Danio rerio: one gene and its partner. The protein of the gene in region 2 purifies or fractionates together with the protein of the main gene of each other region. This does not show direct contact. Links are inferred from orthologs where the notes say so. Each region holds a gene or a part of one and is shown on either strand. Other genes may lie near its edges. The genes, in order: prkcq and ikbkb.

Region 1 (4,455 bases), on a different chromosome or scaffold from region 2:
CGAAGAACAACATAATAACATGTTTTTATTCCAAACTTGCCTCCACCTACAGTTGAGTGTTTGAAATAATTTATTCTGTGAGATGATTCCATAATTGTGTATTAAGTAGTCACACTGAATCAATAGCTATGTTTTCATCCACCTTTTTTTGGATATGCGTTTAAAAAATGGCTGATAGAAACAGTGAGATGGGCATGAATTTTAAAAAATTTTTGAAAACTTTTTATTCCATAAGAAAAAATTGTGCATAAACTTTTATGGAAACACTTTTACTAAACAAATTCCAGTATGCACATTAAAATCATGTGATTAAATAATTGATTAAAAAAAAAAAAAAAAAAAATATATATATATATATATATATATATATATATATATATATATATATATATATATATATATATATATATATATATATTGTAATAAGAGATCATGTGGTGATGAAAAATGTGTGAATGGACAAACCAGCAGGCTGAGCACATTGTAAAACATCTGAAATGTTGTTTTGTTCATTCTAAAATGCCTTTACTATTTTATAATATTAATGTTATTATATTATTAATCACTTTCAGAACTGTCAGGAGCATCTGTGCTCCACGTCTCACACCTTCAAACACCACCACATGTTCATTATGTGTCAGCATTGTCTTCTGAGGCACAAGTCATTTATTAAATAAGGAAAAGATTCATGCAGCTTCTCCTACCGCTGCAAATCCCATTTTTACTTTTGATGTTTGGCACCAGTTAATCAGGAAGTGACTCTCTTTGACTCGTTGGATGGAAGCAGAGTATAGTTTATACAGAGTAGTGAGTTTCCAAAAGAGAGCCCTGTGGCCCTTGAAGGAGATTTACCACAAATTCCTTGAAGATGTGACCAACAATCACAGCTTTGTTCAATCATAGCTGCAATTTCAATTCGATTAGTCGCCCATACCTAAATATGCCTTGCAACAAGCACCATATGTCGATTCAAAGATCAGCCAAGAAGTTGTCGAGAATGTGCCTTCAGCAGCCACCAAACTTCAAAATGTAAAATCTTTTGATTCAAAAACACAGAACAAAGTAATACACCGATGATGGCTTGAGAGTGATTAAATTATGGGGTAATTTTTTGGTAATTTAAGGTGTAAACTTGGGTGAACAATTCCTTTAAACTGCCTGGCTTCATATTGACTTCATAATGGCTTCATATTATGTACTTTCTCATTTATTATATTACATACAGCACATTTAGCAAAATAACGATTTCATTTATAAAAATAAAAATACATACTGTCTATAAAACACATCACAAGCAAGGTCTACTGTTGATTTTAATGTGTATATTAAAAGTTTATTCGAATATAAATACATCTGGACATGCATATTTATTGAACTTAACAAATGAAGTTGTTTCAAAGAAATCTGAGTGTGACTTGACACTTTATATTTTGACAGGTATGTGTGGTTGTGGTTGGTTCTACAGAATAAGACCAAGAGGTCTGCTAGAAACTCAAACTTGTGTCTGCAGAACTGATGCTTTGTGATAAGTGTGTTCGTGTGACCAATAATCATTTCATCTATGATTCTTAAGTAAATTAATGCTGCACATTAAAAAGAAATACCACACTTCTCAAAAACATGTAGTGGAGATAGGTTTTCAGATATACTTCCCTTCATAATATTATGAATGTTTGATTGTTTTGTTGTTGAAATTTTTTGACTCGTAAAATAGCACGTGAAATAATTAAACAGAAAAAGAAGGTCTTCATAAAGTATTAAGGCATTAAAAGTGCATTTAGTATCTTTAAAAAAAATCTTGAATTACATATTTAAAACTGACTGCATCTGTCTGCCATCATTATTTATTATTATTTTTTGCTGAAGTTAGTCTAATGACTGAAAGAAGAGACTGAGAACATGCTTCATGAATCACCATCTGAACAGTGAGTTTAATAAGACAGAAACAGATACTATATTTTTACTGACAATGACACAACCCGTATGACACACATTTCCATTAAGGCTGACACTTCACACATAATCCAACAATAGTAAGTTGCTAGAAACTTTGAGTGGATGTTGTGTTTGCTTTGACCTATAGTGGAAGTTGAGTAGGTGGGTCAAGCAGCAGTTTTTCCAATATGAGTAATTTTGTCGATGTAGATTTCTTTTTTTAATAATTAGCATGTTTAAAATGAAATATATTACAATTTTAGAATAAAATGGACTGTCTTCTTGCGACTTAAGTATCATAAATGCACTTGAATACAGATGTGGCTACTGAGAATGTGCGAGTATATATGTGTATGTGTGTGTATGTATATATATATATATTTATATATATATATACATATATATACATGTATATACATGTATATATATGTATATATATATATATATATATATATATATATATATATATATATATATATATATATATATATATATATATATATATATATATATATATATATGTATATGTATGTATATGTATGTATGTATATGTATGTATATGTATGTATATGTATGTATATATATGTATGTATGTATATATGTATATATATATATATATATATATATATATATATATATATATATATATATATATATATGTGTGTATGTATATGTATGTATATGTATATATATATATATATATATATATATATATATATATATATATATATATATATATATATATATATACATATACATACATATATATATATATATATATATATATATATATATATATATATATATATATATATATATATATATATATATATATATATATATATATATATATATATATGTGTGTGTGTATATATGTGTGTGTGTAGAAAGCATAACTTACCAGTCTCCACAGCCTCTTTCATGTAGACAGCACAGTATGGATTGAGCACTTCTTCATGATAGGCAAGTCCTGGGTCCATCTCAAAACTGGAGAAAGCAATCCTCAAAAACGGAGACATGACTGTAAACGCTCAGAAATATCCTCTGATAGACAGCGGCCCTTTGTTAATTCCACTTGGGAGATCTTCTGTATTGTTGATGGACTCTTATTTGATGCTAATATTCATATTTGTAATGTCGGTTACATGAGTTGTTTTACTCCAGTGACAGAAGAAGGCAATTAGCGTTTTGTCCTTAATTTTTTAGGTCAAGTGTTTGTTTTTTTTGTTCTGTGTCCATCAGATCTTTTTGCTGGTGGTGTAGAAGGAATGATGTCGAGATGAAAGTCTGCAAAAGTCAATAAACAGAATTAAGTGTTGTAAATGACTAGTAAATGCATAAATACAAGTGTAATAATATATAAATAATATAATTTGATAAATGAAGATTTATCCAAATGTAAGAAAACAAGAAAATGGTTTATATTTAATTATTAGTAAAAAAAAAAAAAAAACAGTTTTGGGGAAAAATGAGTGATTCAGAATTTATGGTATTCATTTCGAGGTGTTGTTTTAAGTAAATTTTTATGTGTTAAATATTTTCTATCAATATTTTCTATCTTTTTATTTGTCATGAATGAAAAATAATTTGGTGGGTTTTTTCACCCAAAAAATGTATTTCTTAGCTCTTCTAACAGTAGAAAAACAAATTATATAAACACGTATAAAAACCATTGTATTTATTTTATAAATTGGAGCAACTTGTATATGCAAACAAAGTCAATTTGAAATTAAACAAATACAAATAAATGAATACAAATGAATCCAAAAAATATAAATAAAATAAATAATAAAATAAAATAAATGAATTATTAATGAATAAAGAATTTAGAATAAATATATAATTGTGCTTATGCAATACAATGGTTGATTTAGTTTTTTTGTTTTTAATAAAACTTCTTAATAATAATAACAATAATACTAAATAAATAAATAAATTAAAATTATGTGAAGAAATAATATTAAATAAATAAAATAAAGGAATATCAATAAATAAAACCAAATAAATTGGTTGTTGATTTTTTTGTATAGTTGATAAAACATAATAATACTATATTTTATTATTATTATTATTATTATTATTATTATTATTATTAAATATAAATAAAAATAAAAATAATGAATGAAATAAATAGATAAACAAAAATTAAATGGATAAAAATAAATAAATAAATAAATAAATACATATTAATAAATGAATTTAGAATAAATATAGAATTTTGAATAGACTTTTAAGGTTAATAAAACTTAGTCAATTAACTAAATAATACGAAATAAATAAATCAAAAATCTAAATAAATAAAAATAATAGATTAGCAAAATAAATTAGGAATTTAGAAAAAAATGTATGATTTTTGTTATGAAAATTAGTGGTTGATTTTTTTTTAAGTAATAAAACTTAGTTAATTAACTAACAAAAATATCAATTAGTTAATTGCAGCAATTATTATTAGTATTGTCCTACTACTACTACTACTACTACTACTACTACTACTACTACTACTACTACAAACAATAATAA
Region 2 (3,850 bases):
CTCGACTCACTTCTGGTCCAAGCCCCTCCCCCAGAGTTTTGTCAGTCTATAGTAGGGCTATTCAATTAGTTTGTCTTGGGGGCCATTTCATGAAAAGCATCCCAAACGAAGGGCCGGAGAGATACGACTTGCTATATGAGTGATGATACAACTACATATAAGAGCCCATATGCTGTATTTTTGCTCCTTATGACACCCACGTTGGCCTTTTTCTACAATAAAATGTTAATATATTGTATTTTGAAACTACATAACATCACTGTATTGTACAATGGACTTTTTTATTATTATTATTTTTTATTTAGTATTTTGTTATTATGTATAATGTAAATTCAAGCTTTATATTAGGTAAGTAGCTATTTAAATACTGTGGCAAATTAAAGCGCACTTAATAGTGAAATCGGCTAATCGTTGCATCCCTAATAATGATATCAGTGCATTGTACAAAAGGCCTTTTCTACAAACATATCTAAATGCTGCCTGCGCCACTCGCTTAATGTCAGGTGACTCGCTCTCTGCGCAGCCTCTGCAGCTTGTGCTATATTGAACAGACGCACTTCACTTCATAACTACAGTGGCAGCTTTTCGACTGAACTAAATTTATTTTGATGTCTTGGTCACACTGTTTGAAGAGCCGGAACAAATTGCCTCGGGGGCCAGGTTCGGCTCGCAGGCCGCCAATTGTATAGCCCTGTTTTATAGCGATTGGTGATTGGCTCTTGTACTAGAAGGCGGGCTTTATTTACCATATAGCGATCAACGATTGGCTCCTGTACTAGAAGGTGGGCTTTATTAGCCACATTGATCGTTTCTCTTTTCCCCCATTTAAAACAATAGTGACATGTCTTGCGTAGTCTATAGTCTTTGGCTAGTTAGCCTTATGAATGGGTCCAAAAATGTGGTATGTGAATGTTTAGGATGCACAAAAATACAAATTCTGGACCAAAATTAAAAATTCTGTATGCATTTGGGTGAAAATTGAAACCAAAAATTGTTTGAAACAATGATTTATTATTTTATTAATAGAATTTTGTATGACTTATTCTGATTCCAAAAAAAAAACACAGGCAAATAAATAACCCCATCTTGCTGACAGTAAACAAGTCGAGAGGAATCATTTTACCGGTGTTGCCTTGACAGCAGGAACAAGTATACTACAAGTTAATGTCCTGTCGGCGTGTTATTTGAGTAGACTTTGCTTATTTGGTGAACATGTGCAATTCACAAATTAATAAGTTCGTAAGTAGAACAGCATAGAAAACCTTAAACTATACAATGCGTGAACATAAGCAGACTATCCATAGAGCAGTATATAGAGCTATTTTCTTTGACCGTCAGCAAGTGCTCCACTACTCTTGCTCATTGATTGATGCAGCAAAAAGATCTGCCTTTGCATGGTGCATTGAAATGAATTGGTTTCATAGCACAGTGCTTTCCACATCAGGTGTGAAAGCTACTTCACGACTATGGTGCAGCATAACCTTTTTTTTAACTCATATTTTTTTTGCCCATATTTCTAAAATGCCATTACAGCCGTTAATTTTGGCCGTCAAAAATTTTGGCAGGTCCCTAGTACAGTTTGCTATTTTAATACCATTCACAACTGACAGTGGTATTGAAAATAATTGCATACTGCACAGTACTAAACGACATTGCTCAGTGTGAACGAGCCAATATTTTTATGCGACTTGCTGATCATACTATTGAACTTCAGCCTACCTTTAGATTGAGAATGTGGCTTAATTCATCAAAGCAGAAGCAGGGGGCTTTTGGAGCATCTTTGGCACCCTCTGGACTGGTTTCTTTACTCTCCTCTTCTGCATCTTTGGGCGTCTCCTGACTCTCTTTGTTGCGCTGTTTTAAGTCTTTTCCTCGCTCTTTAGGTGACCATCTCAGCATCATCTGCAGCCAGCGCTCCAGCTCACCAGCTAACAGTCTGAAACGCATCTTTATAGCTTAAAGTTCAACCTAAAAAACTGTGATCACTCTATTTACTGGTTTAATAATCTTGTGATGGCTGCACAATTTGGTGGAAAAAAATGTACAATAAGGGTGTATTAGTCAATGCATTTACTAACATGAACAAGCAATGAACAAAACATTTATTACGTTATTCGTCCATGTTAGTTAATGAAATACAGTTGTTTATTGTTAGTTCATGTTAACTCATGGTGCATTAACTAGGCTTAACAAGCAGGAATTTGGGTTTTAATAATGCGTTAGTAAATGTTAAGCTATGATTAATAAATGCTGTACAAATATTGTTCATAATTAGTTCATGTTAGTAAATACATTTATCTAATGAATCCATATTGTAAAGGTTGACCAAAAAAAGGAAGTTTCTTGTTTTTCTGATCTTTTTTGTGTTATTGCAATAAAAAAAAATAAAACTTTGCGATGCTTTGCTGTTTGGCCTGCAATCATTGGACAGAGGCTATTCATAAAACATCATTCTAACAAGTATTAGTATTTTACCAAATTATTCATCAATTTATTTTATTTTCAGCTTAGTCCCTTATTAATCTGGGGTCGCCACAGCGGAATGAACTGCTAACATATCCAGCAGATGCCCTTCCAGTCGCAGGCCAGGACTGGGAAACACCAAACACTCTACACAGTGGCACAGTGCGTAGCACGTTAGCTTCACTGCAAGAAGGTCACTAATTCGAGCCTTGCCTAGGTCAGTTGGCGTTTTTTGTGTAGTTTGCATGTTCTCCACATGTTTGAATTGGTTTCTTCCGGGTGCTCCGGTTTCCCCTGTAAGTCCAAAGACATGCGGTACAGGTGAATTGGGTAGGCTAAATTGTCCGTAGCGCGCGTGTGTGTGTGTGTGTGTGTGTGTGTGTGTGTGTGTGTGAATGGGTGTGTATGAACGTTTCCCAGTGATGGGTTGCAGCTGGAGGGGTATAAAACATTTGCTGGATAAGTTGGCGGTTCATTCCTCTGTGGCAACCCCAGATTAAAAAAAACGGACTAAGCCAAAAAGAAAATGAATGAATGAATATTATTAACAAAAAATAATTAGTAATTATTATTTATAATTAGTATTACAAATAAATTAAACCAAATAAAAATGAATAAAAACTAACAAATTAAGGAAACTTTATTTAACTGTAAAAATAGTATTTAAGAATAAATGTAACCATTTTGTTGTACAGCACAAATGTAAAATAATGTTTTATTAAATTGTATTTTATTTATAGCGGTCTGTATTTTCAAACTTTACACCACATAGAGCTCTTTTTTTTTAAAACTCAAACAGTAAAATGTATTATTATTATAAGATATAACAATTATTAATTATTATTAATAAATAAAATCATATAAAAACGAACAAAAAATAATAAACTAAGGAAACTTTAACTGTAAAAATTGTATTTAATTTTATTTTAAATATATATAATTTTTTACAGCACAAATGTAAAAAAAAATTTCTTATTTTTTTATAGCGGTCTTAATTTTCAAACTACACCACTTTTGGTTTAAAAAAGAGCATTAGCAATACAAATTATTGTTTATATTGTTGTTGTTGTAATTATTAACATTTTTATTGTTATTATTATTTTGTTTTTTTTGAAAAAGTCACATGTTGAGAGTCAAAACATCAATATAACAAAAAAGTAACAATATTAGTATTTTATTTGACTATTATTAATAAACAAAAATAATAATAGTAATAATAATAACAATAATAATAATATTAACAATAATAATAATAACAATGATAATAATAATAATAATTATTATTATTATATAATTATAAATTATTACTTATAAATAAAGCCAACTTAAAATAATTAAATAAATTTATAAAAAGAAAAATATATAATTATGTCGTACAGAGTAAATG

Evidence for each region.
Region 1: the proteins of ikbkb (region 2) and prkcq purify together in Homo sapiens (affinity purification with western blotting; 4 studies listed by BioGRID). This does not show direct contact. The link is inferred for Danio rerio from reciprocal best matches to the Homo sapiens genes IKBKB and PRKCQ.

The regions. Positions count from the first base shown.
Region 1 is NC_133179.1:26,061,637-26,066,091, reverse strand, and holds the start of prkcq (protein kinase C theta type), read right to left. Parts: upstream 2,955-4,455; coding exon 2,837-2,954; intron 1-2,836. UniProt on the Homo sapiens protein: Calcium-independent, phospholipid- and diacylglycerol (DAG)-dependent serine/threonine-protein kinase that mediates non-redundant functions in T-cell receptor (TCR) signaling, including T-cells activation, proliferation, differentiation and survival, by mediating activation of multiple transcription factors such as NF-kappa-B, JUN, NFATC1 and NFATC2.
Region 2 is NC_133183.1:3,589,856-3,593,705, reverse strand, and holds part of ikbkb (inhibitor of nuclear factor kappa-B kinase subunit beta), read right to left. Parts: intron 1,937-3,850; coding exon 1,720-1,936; intron 1-1,719.